Diceros bicornis minor: one gene and its partner. The main gene of each other region encodes a partner of the protein of the gene in region 2 in a complex. Links are inferred from orthologs where the notes say so. Each region holds a gene or a part of one and is shown on either strand. Other genes may lie near its edges. The genes, in order: BICDL1 and BICD2.

Region 1 (10,498 bases), on a different chromosome or scaffold from region 2:
AAAAAAAAAGTTAATATCAAAACTGTCTAGGTCATCAAAAAGAAGGAAAATCTAAGTAACTGTCACAGCAAAGAGGAGACTAAGAAGATATGAAAACTAAATGTAATGTGGTATCCTGGATGGGATCCTAGAACAGAAAAAGACATTAGGTAAAGGCTAAGGAAATCTGAATAAACTAAGGACTTTAGTTAATAATAATTGTATCAATATTGGTTCCCTAATTATGGCAAGCGTACCACATTAATGTAAGATGTTAATAACAGAGGAAACGGTGCAGGGCATATGGAAACTCTCTGCCATCTTTCAACTTTTCTGTAAATCTAAAACCATTCTAAAAAAATAAAGTTTATTTAAAACTCTGAAAACACAAAAGTTAATATCATTAGCCTACCTAAAATTGGTTGTTAAAAATATAGATTTCTGCAAAGAACCAAAAAGCAACACCATTCTCATAAATCCAGCATACAGTTCTGGAAAAATACAAAGAAAAAGCACTATTTTTTAAGTGGACTGAGCACTGAATGCATATAAGGACTTCTGGGTTTGTTTCCCTAAATCTACGAGTGACTCCCACTATGTAATCATTTTCATCTTACTTGTTCTGCCCTCTTCAAAAAATGGTACCAGAATCATGAGAATTGGCCTACGAAAGGGGGAAGAAAATGTAATTGAGGAAAAAGACTATCTCTGCAGTAAGAGATAACTCCCTCTTAGCTGGAATGGGAAAAAAGGGGATCCTGTACATTAAAAACAATAATTTTTAAAACTAAATAAATATTTAATCTCTAAAGAAAAAAAGTGTATAAATGCAAGTTATTGTCTTATTTCATATTCTGGGGAAAAAACTAAGGACCTGGCTGGATATAAGTTTTAAAAGCAAAAGGGCTAACTGTAGATGCAGAAGAAATAAATTTTTAAAAATGTGTTTAGAACTTTAAGCATATAAAAATCTGATTCAGTGAATGAATAAAATACAACACAGTCAATTTAAGGGTGGAAAAAAATGACCAAAACCTTACAGTCTTTCAAATTAAACTGAATCTTCACTTTAGCCCTCTTCATTTTAAGAGATGTATAGCTAACAAACTTCTGTGTTAACCTTTAAACCATTAAAGACTTTAAAGAGTGTGCCTCGAATGAGAAAGCAGTGTAAGATCAAGTACTTTATGTTTTAAACGATAAAACAAAATCTTGGGTTTGGCACACAGACCTGGAAAGATATTCAATATTAACTAATGAATAGGTAGAAATATAGATCTTGAAAATGGCTAATTGGTCCTGAAGTTAGACAGGTGCCAATTTTTTTTTTTTTTTTTTTGTGAGGAAGATCAGCCCTGAGCTAACATCTGCCAATCCTCCTCTTTTTGCTGAGGAGGACCAGCCCTGGGCCAACATCCGCGCCCATCTTCCTCCACTTTATATGGGATGCTGCCACAGCATGGCTTGACAAGCAGTATGTCGGTGTGCACCCGGGATCCGGGCCGGCGAACCCTGGGCCACCACAGCGGAGCTCGAGCACTTAACCACTTGCGCCACCGGGCCGGCCCCAGAAAGGTGCCAATTTTGTAGTAGTAAGGAAGCAGATAGGACTAAAACAAAACCAGTCTCATTATTTAATAGTCAAACCAACATTCTCTCAGACTCCACTCACGCATTTATCTTTCAAACCAACCTGTGAGAAAATGTGTTTGACTCCACTGGCTGACAGTTTGTGGAAAATTACAAACGCTTTTTAAAGTAAGGGCTGGTTCTCTACTCCTAAATGTTTAATTTAATTGAAAATATATCAGCGTGGCTGTGTTAAACTCGAGAAAGTATTTTGTCTAAACAGACATTCTAAAATCTAGGCTGCTTAAAAAATATATGGTGGGGGAGGGCTGGCCTCGTGGCTTAGCGGTTAAGTGCGGGAGCTCCGCTACTGGCGGCCCAGTTGGGATCCCGGGCCCGCACCCACGCACTGCTTCTCCCGCCATGCTGAGGCCGTGTCCCACATACAGCAACTAGAAGGATGTGCAGCTATGACATACAACTATCTACTGGGGCTTTGGGGAAAAATAAATAAATAAAAATTAAAAAAAAAAAATATGGTGGGGGAAATTCACTTGCAGGTATTAACTGAAATATCCCATTAATCAGGTTTGGCACTCTAATAATAACACTAAAAGAATTAACAAGGAGCTAATGACATTATCTTTGTAAGATATTTTTAAATGTATGTTTAAAAAAAACCTAAAAATTTTTTATGATAATTTTTAAATACACCTAGAAGAAATAGTATAACTGAATCCCCCCATCACTCAGCTTCAATAATGGTCAATACTTGACTTTTTAAAAATAACCTTTAAAAAATGTTAGTTTTTTAATTGTGGTAAAGTATACATAAAATTTACCATCTTAACCATTTTTAAGTGTACAGTTCAGTAGTGTTAAGTACCTTCACACTGTTGGGCAACAAACCTCCAGAAATCAAAAATAAACTTTTAACACCAGAGTTCATATGCTGACCTGTTGAGGTGTGAAGATTTAAAAAAATAAGAGTTTTAAACTATTTTATTATTGTCTATTAACTCAAGACAAAAAGTCAAAGGAAACTTACTTTTTAATAACAGAAACTTTCTTGTTATAGAATTTTGAAATCTTTTTCCTCTGTTGAAGAAATGTATAAAGGCTCCACATGGAACCCAGGATGTGTGTAATTGCATATTCAGGATTATTCTGACAGCTGTCACTAATCAAACTGACTGATATGATGTTCCTTTCAAGTTATGTGTCTCTTCAATCACGTCCCTCACTGAAGGAATTTAAATCACACGTATAAATCTCTGCAGTCGTACTTCTATATAGAGTCGTGTAATCGAATCTCTTTTTGAAAAAAAGATACCCTTTCATTTCAAGACCTCCACTTCAAATGAAAATTAAACAGTTCAATTCATTGGGTTGCTTTTTGGCAGTCTACCCATAGGTTTCACAAACCACTTTTCAAAGAGGTATCTCGGGAGTTCATCGACTGGCAGACCTAGTGAACAGGCCAACTGAACTACAGGGCACTCACTGGTTTCCTTTTTTCTCTCTGATTCACTTTTGATATGTTAGACTACAGACACACTTAACTCTTATTCTAGAAAAGTTTCTGAATCTACATTCTGACAGTTCAACCAGTAGCAGTGATATGGTACCAGACTAGGGTCAATTTCAGATGTCATTCAGGACTGTACTATTCTCTTGTAACTAAGAATAAAAAGAACTGTTTGCAACCAAACTGGGTAACAATAGTAAACGCACAGGCAGAAAAGGATAAGCTCGTCTCCACTGCCATACTCTCCTCTCCTTTTTAAAATCTCCCTAATTTTTAAATATGCGGCATTCCGTACTACTTTCAAGGCCCCTTCTAGTTAAGGGCAAGAGAACAAACAGGGATAGCTCCAAAAGACTTTGGTCCAGAGAATCAGCAGAAATCTTACAATACTTTAAAGGGTATTTATAATAATGAAGTAACATGGTTCTCATAGGTTGCATTTGGCCATCCAGTTGCATGTGTGAGGCCCAGAACACAGAAAAATACTGTTTAAATACACATGAATACTGGGGTCCAAATTAAATCCACTACCAATGGTCACATGCTGAGCCCAGGCTCGCCTGATTTCTGCAATGGAACCACATTTCCTAATCCCTGAGTATTTGAAGGGTACATAAAGCTCCTTTAGAGGCACTTGTTTCCCACAACTCTGAGCTCCCGGGAAGTTAAGACAAGGGCATCTGGAAGCCTTAACGCCAGAACTGGAAAGCTCCAGGCTAACACCCTGATTAGAGATTAACCACTCCAAAAACCGGGAGTGTATTTTAAATGCTTTCCGACGTTCTCATTTCTCTGCGTGCACACAGCACCTCAGTGCTGTATAAATTAGTCATACTGTAAGCTCTATTTTAGATGCTGTGTACAGTACATATATAGAACGGCCCACAGCGCTTGGAGGTGTGCATGGACCCATTTCCTGCGAGCAGGGTGAGAAAGTCAGGTGGGTTCAATGGATGCCTTGGTCTGATAATCCGAAACCCTCCATTCTACCCCCTTCCTAGGCGGTTTTCTGTGAGGGAGGGTGAGCAAAGAAGGAAGGGGTGGGGTGGGTGGCTCCCGAAGCTGCCCAGGGCCGGGCGGGGGGTGCCTGGGCTCCCTCTGCTTCCTACCCATCCCAGAAGGGACGTCCTCACCTCCAGCTTATCCGTCAGCTCCTTGTGCATCTGCTCGTACTGCCGGCTCATGTCCTGGTTCCTCTCGAGCAGCGCCTTGCCCAGCCGGGCCGCCAACACCAGATCCTTCTCCTTCTGCCGGATCACCGACAGCAGCTCGGGATCCTGGGCGGGGGGCGGCTGCGGTCCGGTCCCCTCGGCCGGAGGCCCGGGCTCGGCCTGAGGATGCTCCCCGGGGTCGGACGGCCGTTCCCCGGTCGCCAGCAGCGCCAGCTCCTCCTCTAACGCCAGTTCCAGCTCCCCGGGGCCCCCGGTGAAGGAGATGAGGGCGGCGGCGGCGGCGGCTGGACTCCCGACTGCGTCCGCGGCCGCGGCGGGCAGCTCCATGCAGCAGGCGCTGTCCGGCTCAGCGGGTGCTGAAGCGCGGCCGGCCAAGCCCAGGCAGAAGGCGGACATGGCCCGCGCGCGCGGAGCCCGCAGCGGTGCGGCCCGGCCGGCGCGCGCCAGGCTGCAGGGGGGAGGGGCCCCGCCGCGCTGCCCCGCGCCCCGCGCCTCGCCTCGCGCCGCGGCACGCGCCCCCCGGGGCCCCCGGAGCCCTGGGCGCGGCGCGCGCCGGCCGCCCCTCCCCCGCGCCGCGGCACGCGCCCCCGCCCCCGCTCAGCTGCTCGGCGCGCGCTGGGGAGGAGGAGGGGGTGGCAGAGGGAAGGCGGAGGAAGGGAAGGCTGAGGGGCCGCGAAGCGGGAGGAGAGGCGGCAAGGGGGAACGCCGCCGCCGGGTTTTTAGCCGCCCTGTTGCTGCTGCTGCTGCTGCCGCTGCCGCCGCCGGCCCGGCAGCGCCTCACGGGGCGGGCTGCGCTCCGCTGTCGGTGCGACGCTCGCTGCTGCTGCTGCCGGCGGCCGCTCTCTGCAGCCGCGCTCCATGTCCCTCGGCTCGGCGGCAGCCCCAGCGGCAGCAGCGGCGGCGGCGGCGGCTGCTGCTGCAAGCGCCGAGGCGGCGGCTCCACATCGCGCGCCGCGCAGCCCGGCGAGCTCCTTCCTGCCTCCCTCGGCTCCTCCCGTTCACCCGGCCGGCCGCACCCCGCCCCGGGCTTCCGGCCGCGCCCCCTCTCCCCGCCCCTTGCCGGCGCCTGACGCGCGCGGGCACCTGTTCGCCGCGCCCGCGCGGGATTCGCCGGCTCGCGGGTCTCCTCAGCGGCGCCCAGGTGGCGCCGGCGGCCTTAACCCCTGCGCTGCCTCAAGCCTGGCGGCGGCTGCGCGCGCACCGCCTGCGGAGGCGGCTGGCGCGTCCGTAACGGTCGGGCTGCTCCCCCCGGCGCGGCCACGCCCCCGGCCTCGCGCCCCCGGCGGGGTGTGGCCCCGCCCCCAGCACGAACACCTCGGAGCGCGGCCCCGCCCCCGGCCTCGTTCCCACCTTGGTGCACCGCCCCGCCTCCCGCCTCGTTCTCACCTCCGGGCGCGACCCCCCCCCCCGCCTCGCTCTCCTGTGCTGGGCGTTTCTCGGAGTCTGTTGCGGCTCAGTTTCGTCGTCGCCTTTTAGGTGGTCTCCAAGGGTACTGGGGACATTCCTCCAAGACGGGTGGCCAAGCCCCAAGAGAGACTCATAGTCATGGAATTTGGGTCTGGCCCCCACGAGAGCTAAGCAGTCAGGAGAGGGAGCCCTAGAGAGCAGTAGGAGAAGGGATGACTTCAGAAACCCGGCGTCTTAATGATGATGACTCAGGGATATGAGGGACCAGATGCCTCGGAGATCTACAGCCCCGAAAGAAAGAGGTTATGTTGAGAAATAACGGAAAAAACTGCTCACAGATGGAAATACGAAGCAAAGACTCTCCCTAATAATAACTTCCATTTATTAGGCAGTTAGTATGTACTATGTCTTGTGTTAAGTGCTTTATATGCATTAGCTTAGATAATCCTCACAAGAATCTTATAAAGTAAGTACTGTGACTCTCCCCATTTTACAGAGTAGGAAATTGGAGCCTCCAGAGATACAAGATCAGATCCAGGCAGGCTGACTCCAGGGTTCATGTAAATCGTTATCCTTACTTTCCTTACATATAAGTCTTGAGGAAGATAAATGGTAATTTGTGAGGGAGATGACCTGGGTGGATATCGAAGGTAGTTTCAGGAAAGCTTCCTGCAATGATCAAAAGATTGAAGAGCCTACTGGGTGATTCCTGTCAGTTCTTGCTTTGACCTCATTGGTGATGCTCTGTCTCCTATTTTCAGAAACAATCCCATCTGAAGCTAGAATTGCTCCCTAATTCTTTCCCTTTTCTTTTGGACAGCAACCTGCTTTTTAGTTAAATCATACCTTTATTCTTTTCATCACAGTGAGATGGAAATTTCAGGACACCAAGAGGCTGAAATGGGCCAAATGGTTTCTCATGGCTTTTATTCCTTATTAAATTCAGAACTTAAACAATATTCGGGTATATACATCACTTTCTACCCTCAGTCTGAAAGGTGAGAATTGGAAAGGGCTTGAGCCTCAGGGCTGGCTTCGTTTGCTTGTTGATTGGAAAGGAGACAGACCACGGAGGGGTTCCTACATCAATCTTAGAGCTAGATTTTGGAAGTTGACAGTGGTATCATTTCAGTCATGAACTGTTCTAACACTATATTATGCCCTCTTGAGCAGAAATTGTGGGCCCATGGTGAAATCCAATTGCAACTCTCTTTTGATTAGGAAAGGACAAGTTTCTCCCTAATCTATTTATAGAGACACATATCAAGAGCAAACAATTCCTAATCAAAAGGGATTTCAGCTATTTATTTTTCCTTGATGCAGACTTGCAGCCTGTCTTTCCTAAAAGATCTTTGGCTTGCCTTTGTTGAACTCAATGGTCCTACTCTATTAGATTTACCTTAGTTAGAATGAACTCTCCACAGTGCTAACTCTAGCTCCTGAAGATCCTTCCTCACAATGTTCCTGCCTAACCTGACTAGGAAGTGATTGTTTTCTACTGTAGGTTTGGCCCTAAGCGCTATCTTCCTGTGAATGGTCGAAGGAGACCAGTTCAAGTTTGGAGAACTATTTAGAATAGTGGTTCGTAACTTTTTGGTCTCAGAACCTCTTTATACTCTTAAAAATTATTGATGATCTCAAAAACCTTTAGTTTATATAGGTTTACATATTGATATTTAAAAATTAAAACAAAAATTTAAAATGCTTATAATAAACCTATTACATTTTAACACGATACATTTTAATGAAAAATAACTATATAATCCCAAGTAAAAAAAAATGAGTGAGAGGAGTGGCATTATTTTTCATTTTTGCAAATCTCCTTGATGATTGGCTTGATAGTAGAAAACTGGATTTTTGTATCTGTGTCTCCATTGAATGTGATATTTCATTTTGATTGAAACAAAATGATTGATGAAGAAAATCTGGTCTCACAAAGATGTAGTTGGGAAAAGGAGGAATTATTTTAATAGCCTTTTCAGATCATTGTGGATATTTTTCTTTGATATTACACCAAAATTTGACAAGTGATAGCTTCTTAAAGGTTAGTTGCAATGTGGAATCCAAAACTATATCAAGGAAATCCATTGATCTATCTTCCACTTTGAATGGATCTTGTACCTACATGTGATTGATTCTGTAACAGCATGTATTGGTCATTTGGAAAATATTTGTTCACTGAGTCGTGCAGATCTTCCAAATATTGTCACATGTAATTATACTATATATTGAAAAATCACTCTGATCTCATCAGAAAAGTAAGTATTAGCAAGCTATCAAGCTCATTGAGGTGGATATGAATTTTCCAAAATTCTTATTCCTACTTGAAAGCTCCAATTTTATCATTTGTAATAATATTGTCTGTTTTCCCTGAAGTGACAGACTTGCTTCATTAATTTTTGAGAAAATGTCTGTCAAATACCCAAATCTGAATACCATCGTTTGTCAGTCATTCATTCAAGGAAAAATGGTGTTCCATGAAAAACGTGGCTAGTTCAGCTCACAACTCAAATGATGGTACAAGTGCTTTATCTCAACACAACTATTGTAGTTAGATATGCAGCAGAAGTGCTTTATGGATACCTCTCATTTAATATAAGTACAGGATTTAATACAAGTACTGCTTCATCAGGGACGTTCTTAGGTGAAACTACATTTTTTCTTCCTGTGAGTACATGGTAGTGAAGAATAACATGTCTACCAGTACACTTGAGTACCACGGCCTTGATTCCTGCTAAGGTATCAGTAGTATTACCCGCCATTGCTTTTGCACCATCAGTGCAAATGTCAACACAGTGAAAAATGAAAATACTATTAGACAATTAGTATTATTATGTAATTAGTTTTACTATTATTAATAAAATTAGAATCACTATCATTGCAATTATTATGAAAATAATGTTTACTTCGTAGGCCCCCCTGAAAAGGTCTTTGGGACCTTCAGGAGTTGGTGAACCACACTTTGAGAACTGTTGATTTAGAGCCACTCAAGACTATTAGCTCAGTCTTGCACTAAGAAGAAAGAACAAGTTCTTGCATACAAGGAAATTAGTGCCAGGATTGAAAACTCATCAAAGCAAAGTTATGAAAACCCTCAGTCTTCTAAAACTTATTTAGTTTATTCTGCTTCACACTGGAACAAAGTAGGTAAAATATATTTAGCACTACATTCCTTAAATCCTTTATATGACATTTCATTTAATCCTCACAATAACTCTATAATGCTACTATGTAACACCAATATATACCACTACATGATACTAAGATGCTAGTATTTTAGGCCTGTATGACTCTAAAATGCTTGCTTTTAGTTACCATGCCTCACTTCACATTTTTATCATTCAGATATTCCTTTAAATATATTTGCATTAGTGTTACTTTTGGTACCTGGATATTCTGGTGAACTTGGGTATGACCCATCTTAACATATCATGGATGGATTTCCACGTAAGTGCTGTTACATTATTAAGGGCAAAACATGAAATTTTCTTTCTTAGAAATCCCAATATTTCCAAATATGACAACACTCATCGAATTTCCCCAAGTTGTTTATTTTTATTAACATCTTGATCTGCAAAGCTGGAAAGTGTAAAAGACAAAACATTTTCCAGAAAATTTGTTTTTGAAAAGTCGAGTGTTGAAGACACATGAGGAGCTGGCAAAACGTGATAAAGCAGTTCTACGCTTGGTATTTTCATTCAGCAATTACAAGTGTGTGTGCATTTTTTAAGTTATATATTTTATTTATGAACTAGTCGTGGGAACATAAAAGTCTCAAAAATGCCTCAAATGTTACCCAAAAGCTTTTTATGTTTTTTGGAGATGAATTGATTCAACATTTTGCAAAATGTGGTGTATTTACCCCTAGTGATTCTTAAGTTGATTTTTAAGGGAAAAAACATTAAGTTCAGTGGCTGGTGCTCACCAGCATCAGTCTTTAGCAGACACCTTGCCCTGCCTGGTGTGGGAATGTGCTTTCTCTGCTACCCATCATGATGCCCCAGCTTGCCCTGCTGTCACCCCTTCCCAGCCCCACCTAAATTGCCGCAACTCCTCCCATTTCTAGGTGCTCACCTTGACAGCTCCCTCACTCATTCCCCCTCACCCCCCTCCCACCCCTCGCTGGGGCCTTTACTTCCACCCCACACTCCCTTTTACCTTTTCTCAGATCACCTTTCTGCCTGAATTTCCACCTCCACCCTCCTTATTTCCCCACCCTGCCAAGCTTTTTGTTTCTCTCGGCCTGGCGCTCTTTACTTAGTCAAAGCCTCATCTCCCTGGTTCCCTCTCCCCCAGATCCAGTCCCTTCCCATCACCATCCCTGCCCAACTTTTCTCTTCCAGGTGAGAGTTCGCCTCTCCCAAGGATTAGCTTAACACCCCAGGTCTTAGCTGCATTTTTACCTCTGCTCATTATTTCCTGACTATTCAGGAAATACTTTGGAGTTTTCAGCTCCAGACTCATGTTTCAGCTCCTTCTCATCAGGCATTTCCAGATTTTGCCCTTACTGATTAAGAGCATGGACTCTGGAGCCAGACTCCCTGGGCTGGAATCCCAGTGCTGCCACTTATCAGTTGGGTCATCTTAGACGTGTATGCCTCAGTATCCTCATTCATAAAATGAGGATAATAGTAGTACTTACCTAATAAGGTCATTATTAAGCCCAAAAGATTTCATATATGTAAAGCACTTAAAATGGTGCCTGGCACATGGTAGGTACAATATGGGTGTTTGATAAATAAATAAATATGTAAAATAACTGAGCACAGATCTCTCCCTCTGACACCATGATCTTTCCTAACTTTTACGTCTGTCTTCTTCTGTCTTATATGCCTGTTTCCTT
Region 2 (11,049 bases):
ACCTCTTCCATTTAGGTCTTTGATCCATTTTGAGTTAATTTTGCGTCTGGTGGGAGGTGGGGTTCCAGCTTCATTCTTCTGTGTGTGGATTTCCCATTGTCCCAGGAGCATTTGTTGAAAATCAACTCACCATAAAGATGTGGGTTGATTGCTGGACTCTCGATTCTATTCCATTGATCAATTTCTGCAAAAAAAAAAAAAAAAACTCAGCTAGAATTTTAATAAAGATTGTGTTGAATACATATATTAATTTGGGGAGTGTGTCAAAGCTTCAAAGGGCGAAAGGAGCCACGTGGAGGAGGAGAGATTCTTGCAGACAATTTTTTTTTCTGGTGAGAAAGATTGGCACTGAGCTACCATCTTCCTCCATTTTGTATGTGGGACACCTCCACAGCATGGCTTGATGAGTGGTGTAGGTCCACACAAGGGATCCGAAACCGTGAACCCTGGGCCGCTGAAGCAGAGCGCATGACCCCAACCACTATGCTCCCAGGCTAGCCCCATTTGCAGATAATTTTGAGTGCTGGACAATTGCCCTGATTAAATGCCCCCTCCAGAGCTGTCCTTGCCACTGGACACTGAGGACAGGGGTGAGATCTTGGCAGGAAAGCCCAAGGACAAAGGTGTGCATTCATCGGTCAGAAGCTGGATTAGGAAAGGCACCCAAATAGCTCCCATCTCAGCAGCTATATCACTGAACAGCTACGGCAATATTTGTTCAACAACTTAACTAACTGAAACGTCCCCCTTCCAGGAACAAGAGATTGTGCAAGCCTCAAAGAAGATGGGTAAGGATGCTTATTTCTGCACTGGTGTGGTTGTAAAAGGCCAGAAACAACCTAAAAGTCCATCAGTGGAGTGGAAGTACAACACACCTATACCATGGAGTACTGTGCAGTCTTAAAAATATATGCTGACAAGAAACAGTGATAAGAAACACAAAGACCATCACACATCACATGCTGATGGGAAATAGTGTGTACCGTACCGCCATCACACATCACGTGCTGATGGGGATCAGTGTGTACAGTACATTATTTTTTTAAATGAAAAGAAATATATTCTTGTATTTCTCCTCGTGGGGGGGTTTGCTTTTCTTTGTATATATTTTTTATGTGCAAATATGTATAGGCACCGGCCTGCTGGCATAGTAGTTAAGTTCATGTGCTCCAGCAGCCCGTGGTTCCTCAGGTTCGGATCCCTAGGGCACACCTACACACGGCTTACCAAGCCACACTGTGGCAGCATCTCACATACAAAACAGAGGAAGATTGGCACAGTTGTTAGCTCAGCGACAATCTTCCTCACCAAAAAAAAAAAAAAGTATAATTTTAATATTATTAGTTTCTTTTATCTCTGACAGAAATGAGCACTTTGGGTTAAAATCTTCCTCATCAAATTTTGGCACACCATATTTTCTCAGTTATATTTCTCGTAACTATCATCAAATATCACAACCGAGAAGCTGGTATTGACACAAGCCACCCTTCTAATTCAGATCCCATGAGGTTTATGTGTACTCCGTGTGTGTGTGTCAGTTCTGTGCAATTTTATTGCCAGCGTATATTCATGTTACATATCACAGCAAGACACAGAACATTTCCATGACCATAAGGGTCCCTCATGTTGCTCTTTTATACCCTCATACACCCTCCCCAACCCAACCCCTAGCCACCACTAAAGTGTTCTCCATCTTTTTAATTTTGTTCTTTCTGAAAGGCCATATGAATGGAATCATACATTGCGTAACCTTTGGGTATTGGCTTCTTTCACTCAGTATGATTCTCTGGAGATTCACTCAGGTGGTTGTATGTATCCATAGTTCATTCTTTTTATTGCTGAGTAGTATTTCATGGTACGGCTGTACCAGTTGGTTCCACCATTAACCCAATGAAAGACTTTTTGGGTTGTTTCCGATTTGTAGGTTTTATGAATAAAGCTGCTATGAATATTTGTATACAGGCTTTTATGTGAACACAAGTTCTCATTTCTCTGAGATAAATGCCCAGGAACGAAACTACTGAGTCCTGTGGTGATGGCATGTTTGGTTTTATAAGAAAAAGCCAAAGTTTTCCAGAGTAGCTACACCATTTTACCTTCCCCAAAGAGTATATGAGCCATCCCATTTCTCCACATCTTCGTCAACATTTGTTGCTGTCACTTTTGTTGATGGTTTTTGTTTTGTTTTTTTCTATTTTAGCCATTCTGATAGGTGTTGTGAAAATTAGTAAAGGAAACCTCAACTAAAATTGGAAACAGGAAGGCCTGTAGGGGGAGCTTGACGCCCTATCAATTACTCCAAACAGGGAGAGGTACACTTGCAACTGGGGCAGGAAGGTGTTTTCTTTTCTACTTGATTACCCAGCCGGAGGAAGATTTCTCTCCCCACCCAGCAACAGCCCAGCCAGTGAGAGACTGTAGCAACCCAACCAATGCCTCTACACTTTGGACTCCCAGTTTCCTCCAATGGATTCTTCGTTTATTACAGCCCCTCCCAATTCCCCCTTTTCCTCTATAAAGCAGGCTCCTTCCTTGTTCTCTGGATTTGTCTATGGTCTGCCATAGCATGCACATCCCTAGTTGCAATTCTTTTGGTTGTTCCCAAATAAACTAATTTTGCGAGTAAAACAACTGGCCAATTTACTTTTTGTGTGTGAGGAAGATTAGCCCTGAGCTAACATCTGTTGCCAATCCTCCTCTTTTTTGCTGAGGAAGATCAGCCCTGGGCTAACATCCATGCTCGTCTTCCTCTACTTTATATGGGATGCCCCCACAGCATGGCTTGACAAGCGGTGCACTAGTGCACACTCGGGATCCAAACTCTCACACCCCGAGCTGCCAAAGCAGAGTATGCGCACTTAACCACTGCACCACCGGGCCAGACCCCCAATTTACTTTTTAAGTTGGTGGTGTGTAGTTGTACGTTTCTTTAAACTGAAATTTTAATCATGTGCATATTACCTACAAACAATAACAGTATTTTAAAAAATAAAGTCATGTAAGCAGACACATGACAGCAACCAATAAAAGGGATACCAGTGGATATCCCTTAAAATAAGGAGTAGCTTGAAGCACGAGGTCAGAATTCATGCCCATTGGTCAGGCACCTAAAAGTCAAGTGGCACTCAGATGGCAGCCTCACACATTCAGAGCAGACAGGTAAATGATTTTTTTTTTTTTTTTGTCTTTTCAGGCTTTATGAAGATAGTGCCATTGCAACATTAAAACATTTGAAAATTTTTATTAAAAAAATTCCAAAATAGACCCAAAAGTCAAGAGCACAGTGTAGCAGTGTGTGCCCCCACCCAGCTTCAACTACCATCAACAACTACTGCTTGTTTCATTATCTCCATCTCTTTTTTCTGGAGTATTTTAAAACAAACGCCAAACATCATGTTCTCCACCTGTAAGTACCTCAGGATGTATTTATATCCAAAAAGGCATTTTCTTACATAATAACACCTAAAATTAACAATAAATCCTTAATTAAAAAATGTTCAAGGAAAAATAATTCCCTACACTCCCACCACCATTCAAACCTCAGTGATTCCACTTCTCCTCCTCCAGCTCTGCAGGAGTGTGCAAGGCCCGGTTCCAGAGCTGCAAGCACAAGGACTCTCCTCTGTTTCCTCCTCTTAACATCGTGTCATGTTCAGTTCCATGTAGCCCCATCATCTTAACCAAGGGAGTTGGATGACTTTCATATACCTTTAAAAATACATTCCTTACAGACCACTTATCCCTTATGAATATTGATGCAAAAATCCTTAACAAAATACTAGCCAACCAAAATCTGCTGCATATTAAAAGGATTACATATGGTGACCAAATAGGATTTAATCCCAGAATGTAAGGATGGTTCAACATATGAAACTCAACCAATGTAATGTTGATGTGTTAATGTGGTCATTGACAGAATGAAGAGGGAAAAAACCATATGATGACCTCAATTGATGCAAAAAACCATTTGACAAAGTCTAACACTCTTTCATGATAAAAACACTCAACAAACTAGGAATAGAAGGTAACCTCCTCAACATGTAAAGGCCATACGTGAAAAACCCACAGTGAACATCATACTCAATGGTGAAAGATGGACAACTGTCCCCCTAAGATCAGGAACAAGACAAGGATGCCTGTTTCTGCCGCTTCTGTTCAACATAGTATTGAAAGTCCTAACCAGAGCAATTAGGCAAGAAAAAGAAATAAAAGGCATCCAAATTGGAAAGGGAAAAGTAAAATTATCTTTGTCCATAGATGACATGATCTCATATGTAGAAACCACTACAGATTTCATGGCAAAAAAACTATTAGAGCTAATAAACAGTTTATTCAGCAAGGTTGTAGGATACAAAATCAACACACAAAAATCAGTTGCATTTCTATACACTAATGATAATCTGAAAAGGAAATTAAGAAAACAATTCCAGTTACAATAGCTTTAAAAAAAAATAGGAATTAACCAAGGAGGGAAAAGACTTGTATATGGAAAATTGCAAAACATTGCTGAAAGAAATTAAAGACGACATACACATGGAAAGACATTCTGTATAAATGGGACTGGAAGACAATATTGTTAAGACGACACTACTACTCAAAAACTTCTACAGATTCAATGCAATCTCTATCAAGATCCCAACAGCACTTTTCGCCAAATAGAAAAACCCATCCTATAACTCATATGGAATCTCAAGGGACCCTGAATAGCCAATAGCTCACCTGGTCCTTCTCCCCTCTTTTCCGAAGGATCTCTCCCACTTAGGCTGAAGGGTGTGCCCAGGCCTGAGCGCTTCCCAGGACTCTGGACTTTCAGTGCTAAAACCAGGACAGTCCCAGGCAAACCACAGTGCTTGGACAACCTACTCCTACTGTGGTTGAACGCCTTAAAAATTATTTTTTAATTTCACAAGTAAAATTATGACACATTCTCCTCATACATTAAACGACTAAACGTAATCAGGCTCCTTGGAGAAATGGTGATTCCAGGTCTGGGATACTGAGAGTATAAGAAGATCCTGGAACAACCGGTGCCAAAGAGCAAGGAAGTGCTAACAAATTATGACCTGCTGAAGGACACGGAGCCAGCTTGGTGGAGCTCCCACCGGCTCAATCTGCCACCATTTGAGCATCTAAGTAAATACGGAGAGTAATGGGTGGTAACTCATGGAGTAAAATAAGAATCGATGGATCCACACCGCTAATGAGTGGACTGTCTTCCCTAGAACGCAAAGCTAGTAAGTGGAGAAGGAATGATGGAAATAGAAAAAAAAAATAGTATGGTAATAATTCATTTAGTGAAGAAACACCAACGAAACCTAGTGGGTTCAGGTCTGAGGCACGACAGGATATTTGCATCGTCTCAAAGCGTCCTCTCGCGGGGTATCAGCCGCGGGAAACCCAGCAGCGACCTCGGGGAAGCAATCGCGCCTCTGCCCGGACGCCGGACGCAGCACCACCTGGCAGAGTCCCGCTCCGGCCGCGAGGACACACGAGTGCACGGCCCGGCCTGCGCGCGACGCGGGGGGCGAGAGGACACGCGGCCCCGCGAGCGTGACCCGGGCCGGACGCCATGTGGTCCTGAGTCGGGTCCCGGGACCCGCAGACCCGCAGGGAAACACGCCGGGCGCCTGTCGCATCCCACTGGCGGTCGTCCCCTGCGTGCCCGTTTCCCCGGATGCGGGTCCGCGCGCGTCCCTACTAGAACCCCACACCGCGCTCGACCATCGCTCCACCCCTACGTCCTGGGCTCCGCCCGCCCCGCCGTCCGAGTCGTCGTGCGCAGGCCGCGGGCGCCGGAAGGTAGCAGTGTTTCCGGCTCTGCGACGGCAGCGGCGCGGGCCAATCACGGCCGGGGACGGGCAGGCGCGAGGCACGACGGGCCTTGTAGTCGGCGAGCAGGCGGGACTACAGCCCCCACAATGCCCCAGGGGCGGGGGCGGGGCGATAGTGATGGGAGGGGCTGCCCAGCGCGGGGCGCGGGCCAATCACGGGCTGGGACGGGCGGGCGCGGGGCACGACGGGCCGTGTAGTCGCGCGGACCGGACCGCCGCCCCCAGAGTGCCCCGCGCGACGGGGAGCGTACTGCGGCTGCGCGGCGGCGGCCCGGGCGCCGTCGGGCTGGGCGGCGGCGGGGACGGGAGCCGGCCGGAGCCTCGGTGCGAGCTGCGCGAGCCGGGCCGCGGCCACCATGTCGGCGCCGTCGGAGGAGGAGGAGTACGCGCGGCTGGTGATGGAGGCGCAGCCCGAGTGGCTGCGCGCCGAAGTGAAGCGGCTGTCGCACGAGCTGGCCGAGACCACGCGCGAGAAGATCCAGGCGGCCGAGTACGGGCTGGCGGTGCTGGAGGAGAAGCACCAGCTCAAGCTGCAGTTCGAGGAGCTCGAGGTGGACTACGAGGCCGTCCGCGGCGAGATGGAGCAGCTCAAGGAGGTGAGGGGCAGGGCCGGCCGGCCGGACCGCGACCCGACCCCGACCCCGGGCCGGGCCGACCCCCGTAGCTGGGCCGAGCGGACCCCTCGCCGGGCCAGGCTGGCCAGCACCGGGCGCCCGGGGCCGGCGTGCCCGGCGGGCCCAGCTGTGGTGTGCAGCGGGCCGTGTCTCCCGCTCCGGCAGGCCTCGGGGCGGCGGTGCGTCCTCTGCGGTGTTGGTCTCCCGGTGGGATGGGGGCGTGGGATGGGTGCAGGTCAAGGCTAGGCCACGGCCGCATCATTTCTAGCAGGTCACCTCTCCTCCTGGGTGCAGCTGCCTTCAGCGGCCTCGATGAGCGCCCTGAGGCCGGGAGGGGTGCTGGCCCTGCATGTGGCCGTCCCCGCTGGCTGGGGTCCCTCAGTCCCCTCCCCAGGCTCAGCGCTGACCTGGGCGCCCTCCCCACGCCCGTAATTCCTTCTCTGGGATCTGTACTTCTCCCACCCACCTCTTGTCCCTGCCGCCCTCCCAGGCCCTTCCTTCTGGGCGGGTGACAGGTCTGTGGGTGTTTGTCGGGAGGGAGCCTTGTGTGGTTTCCACTCCGCAATGGGGAGGTCCGACCCCCGGCTGCTGGAGAGGCTGGCGGGGAGAAAGCCAGGCAGTCCTTCCTGAAGGAGTTCTCCTGGGTGACTTAACCACCCGCTCTCCCAGTCCTCCTGACTCCCCCGCTCTGTGGTAGGGGGTGGGGAGGGAGAAGTGGCTTTCTGGGTGGAACACCCAGGTTTGGACCAAGGCCTAGCCCCTTGCTGGTGATGTGGCTGTGGGCAGGGGCCTTAGCTTCTCTTTCTGCGGCATTGCCCACGCAGAAAGGGTTGGTCTGAGGGTCGTGTGTTTGAAAAGGCCCAGTGTGGTGTCAGGCACGTGGCCTGTCGGTTTCTTTGACAGCGTGCCCCTTCTCCACCTGACTCTTCCCTTGTCCAGGTGGGCTCTTGGCCATTGGTCTCAGGATCCACCATACTTGCTGTTTCTCCAACCGCCCACCTTCCGGCAACTCTGCTGCTAGTGGCTTGGGGCAAGTGCCTGGATTGTTCAGAGCCTCCATTTCTCACTGGAGGACCAGTAGGAACCCATTATGATAGTAAAGAGGAGAGAAAGAATTAATCCTCATAGGTGCCTAAATCCATGCCTGGCAGAGCAGGTGCTCTGTTAGTATCAATAAATGATTTGGCGGGAGTGGGGGCAGGTGGTGGCTCATCTGACCCACGACCCACGGTCCTGTCATCTGTTAGCACGGATTGGCGCCTTCTCTGAGCCAGGCTCTGCTGGTGTTGGATCTACAAGAGGAGTGACATGTGGTCCCTCCTGCAAGGATGTGTGTGGGGTGGGAGGATGCACCCACTGCAGAGGGAGGCCAGGGAGCTGTGAGCATAGGAAATAGCGCACGCTCGCCCCATTCTGGTCTCCTGGGATGGGGCTCACTCTCCGCAGCTCAGAGGCAGGCCCAGCCTTCGCCTTCTCCTCAGGGTTTCTCCTGAGCCCCTGCTGGCAGCGTGCACAGTCCCCTTGTGCATTCACAAGGTCTCATCCATGTCTGCTGTAAGAAGGGACTGTTGCAGATGGAACTCATCCCAGTTTAGGGATCTTTCAGTTGTCAGCTTTTGACTTTCACAAACACAAACATTTTGGCCAATGCAAGAATCTTGGCTCGGTTTTGTGGGATGTGTTTGGAGGGTGGGTCACGGGGAACCAGGAGGAGGCTGGAGTTCTTCAGGCACCTGCTTGCTTAGTTTGGTGTCACCTCCTGGCTCCTGCCCGCACTGGCCGTATGGCCTTGGACAGGTTGCCCCACCGTCCTGACCGTCAGTTTTCCCTGTTGTAGGTGAGGTGAGAACGGTTCACCTAGAAGTTGCGGCAGAAGCTGGAGGAGGTTGCATCGTCTCGGTAGACGTTGTCTGAAAGCTCGCACCAGTTCACTCACACTCAGGCCAGCTCAGGCTCTTGTCAACCTATTGGGTTTTGGCCAGTGTCATGCTTGAAAATGTTAATTCTTATTTTGAAAACCAAGACTTAAGGAGATGATATTCATTGGGTCTTTTCTTTTTTGTCCTGTGAAGTGAACCATCTTTATTCTTTTAAAACTTTATTTCTTGAACTGAAATGGGTCCAGTTACTTACAGTTTGTGCTACAAATGGAGGTGCTGTGCTCCTGCCGGCATTTGTAGATAATGCCTTTTCTGAGGGAGGGATGCTGGCTGGCTGGTCCCGGTTGAGTGGGGTCGTGCTGAGGAAGGTCCAGTGGTGGGCCAGTGGGTGGCAGAGCTGGCACTGCAGCCTTTCTCCCTTGGTGAGTATGTGTACGTCCTTGTCTGTGTCCTGCCAACACCATGGTGTGTGTTTGAGGGGCACCCGCTGGCCCGTTTTGCCTAATCATTTTGCTGGTGATTGAGCCTGGCTTAATAAGGGCCCCCTCTGTCCCAGGTCCCACTGTGCCACTCCCCGCCATGGTGGGGAAGAAAATCGGGTGGACCTTGGTCAGCCACGTGGTATTTCCTGTCCTGAGTGGCCGTGGGACACCCCGCTCTGTGTCCTCAGGTGCACCTTCAAGGGAACAGGTGTGCTGGGGTGGCAGCTCTTGCCTACAGGGCTGAGGCAGGTCCCAGGAGTGGGTGGTCTTTGTGGGTGGGGATGTGAGGGCTGGAGAGCATGCCTCAGGCCAGGAGTGGGGTCCTGGTGCAGTCTCAGCCCCACCCTCTCTGGGCTCCCCGAGAAAGCAGGAAGACCGGGTCTGGACGCCCTCGATGCTGTCTGTGTCACCTCGGGAACTGGTCTGTGCACTTAGGTCTGGGGAAGCAGTGAGTGGAGTTTGGTGAGCTGCAAGTGTCACAGGCTGGGCATGGGGCCCGGCACCCGGCAAGTGCTGACTCAGTAAGTGTCTGCTGGCTGGTGTCGTCGGCTCCTTGCCTCCACCTAACTTGGGCCTGGATCCCCTCCCGGCCGTCCCGGCGGCCACCTGGCCTCTGTTCCTTGTCCTGGCGTGGTCTGGAGCAGCCCTGCTGCCTCTCTCAGAGGGCGGCATGCACTGCTTCCCCTCCTCTGTTCCCTATCCCTGCTGCCTTTGCTGTTGTCACCCTTCTCCTGCCAGAGCTTCAAGGCCTGGACGCTTCTGTGAGCCTCCTCTGCCGCCTGTGGACTTGCCTGAGCCCAGCACCCAACTCCGGGGTGTCCCTTCCTTCCTGCAGGATGAAGGGCTGGGGCAGAGCTGGTGGGAGCAGCTGCTCTGTTCCCTTCGCTCCCTCCCTCTCCTCCCTCTTGTGATCTTCTCTCCCAGGGGATGAGGAAGCAGAGCTGGGGGTGTGTGGGAGTGACTGAGGAGGGCCCAGAGCCCAGACCAAGTTGGAAGGGGTCCTCGGGCACCAGGTTCTCATCCAAGTCCTTGTGTGGAAGTCATGGCTATGAGCCCGTTGAGTCCCACGGCCTCACCCCTGTAGGTGACCTGCTCCTGCTGTAGCCTCCCCACGCCCACTGACTCCTCCAGTCCACACACCAGCCCTCAGGGTCACCACCCCACCGATGCAGGCCAGGCACCTCACGCTTGACTTTTCTTTTTCTTTTTTAAAAAATTGGCGGAGTGCTGCCTTCAGCTGGTGCAAGGCCTGGCTTTTGCATTGTTGGGTCGTTGCCGCCCTCCAGTTCATTTGTTAGACCAGCCTTTGTTGTGTCTCCTCTGCCCGCCCAGGGGCTCATGGTCACCCATCCAGTGTGTCCTGACTGGGACGCCGAGAGGTGCATAGCTGTCTCTGAACCAGGAGGGAGAAGCTGTCCTGTCCCCGTTCCACAGGTGGAAATGCCAGGTCTCAGAGTGAGGGCTGTGTGTCAGCAAGGCATGATGTGACCCTGAGCAGTCCCCTCCCTGAAGCCCTGGCAGTGGAGCAGCTTCTCCCCTGGTGATGGCGTCAGGGTGGCCTGGGACCCCACTCTGCAGGCCCCTGTCATTGCTCCCTGGGCCGCCTGGGTGCTCTCCTCCCTCCTTCCCCTCACACCCTGTCTGGCATGCACTGCAGAGATCCCGGCTTGTCCCCCAGCCTGAGGGATTCCCTGGATGGTCAGAGAGGACACTGACCCCCGGAACGGGGTGCGCCAGGCGGGCTGTCTACAGCTGTGAACCTGCGGCCCTGCCTGCTGTCACCCGGTCGCCTGGTGCAGAGGCTGAGATTATGGACATTCCACCCAGTCAGGCGAGTGCAGACTCACGCAGCAGCTACGAGCAAGTCTGTGTTCTCGCCAGCACAGTGTCCTCCGACGGTCATCGTGGCCAGTGGTGAGGAGAAGTGCTGTCGCGTCCCTCGGGTCTGATTGATTTCTTCTTCTGTGAAGCAGTCTGTTCCGCCATAGCACTTGTTTTGAAGACGGGAGTTTGTTCCAGAGTGGTTGATGTTGGAGGGAACAGCGTGAGCATGAGAATTTAGCATTTGCTTCTGTGCCATTTAGTTCCCAGAAGACACTAGGCGAACACAGAACCTGCACCCTGCCACCCACCCACCTGCTTTCCGTCCAGTTTCAGACACCGCCTCCCCACCGGGACGCCACGCCCAGCGCCAGCCTCAGGGCTTTGTCAAGATAAAGTGCGTTGCAGCATTTTTGTGTTT

The links.
Region 1: BICD2 (region 2) and BICDL1 share a complex: the UniProt entries of both Homo sapiens proteins name them as parts of the tripartite complex. The link is inferred for Diceros bicornis minor from reciprocal best matches to the Homo sapiens genes BICD2 and BICDL1.

What each region holds. Positions count from the first base shown.
Region 1 is NC_080774.1:16,565,331-16,575,828, reverse strand, and holds the start of BICDL1 (BICD family-like cargo adapter 1), read right to left. Parts: upstream 4,687-10,498; 5' UTR 4,645-4,686; coding exon 4,210-4,644; intron 1-4,209. UniProt on the Homo sapiens protein: Acts as an adapter protein linking the dynein motor complex to various cargos and converts dynein from a non-processive to a highly processive motor in the presence of dynactin.
Region 2 is NC_080761.1:58,963,374-58,974,422, forward strand, and holds the start of BICD2 (protein bicaudal D homolog 2), read left to right. Parts: upstream 1-6,132; 5' UTR 6,133-6,187; coding exon 6,188-6,427; intron 6,428-11,049. UniProt on the Homo sapiens protein: Acts as an adapter protein linking the dynein motor complex to various cargos and converts dynein from a non-processive to a highly processive motor in the presence of dynactin.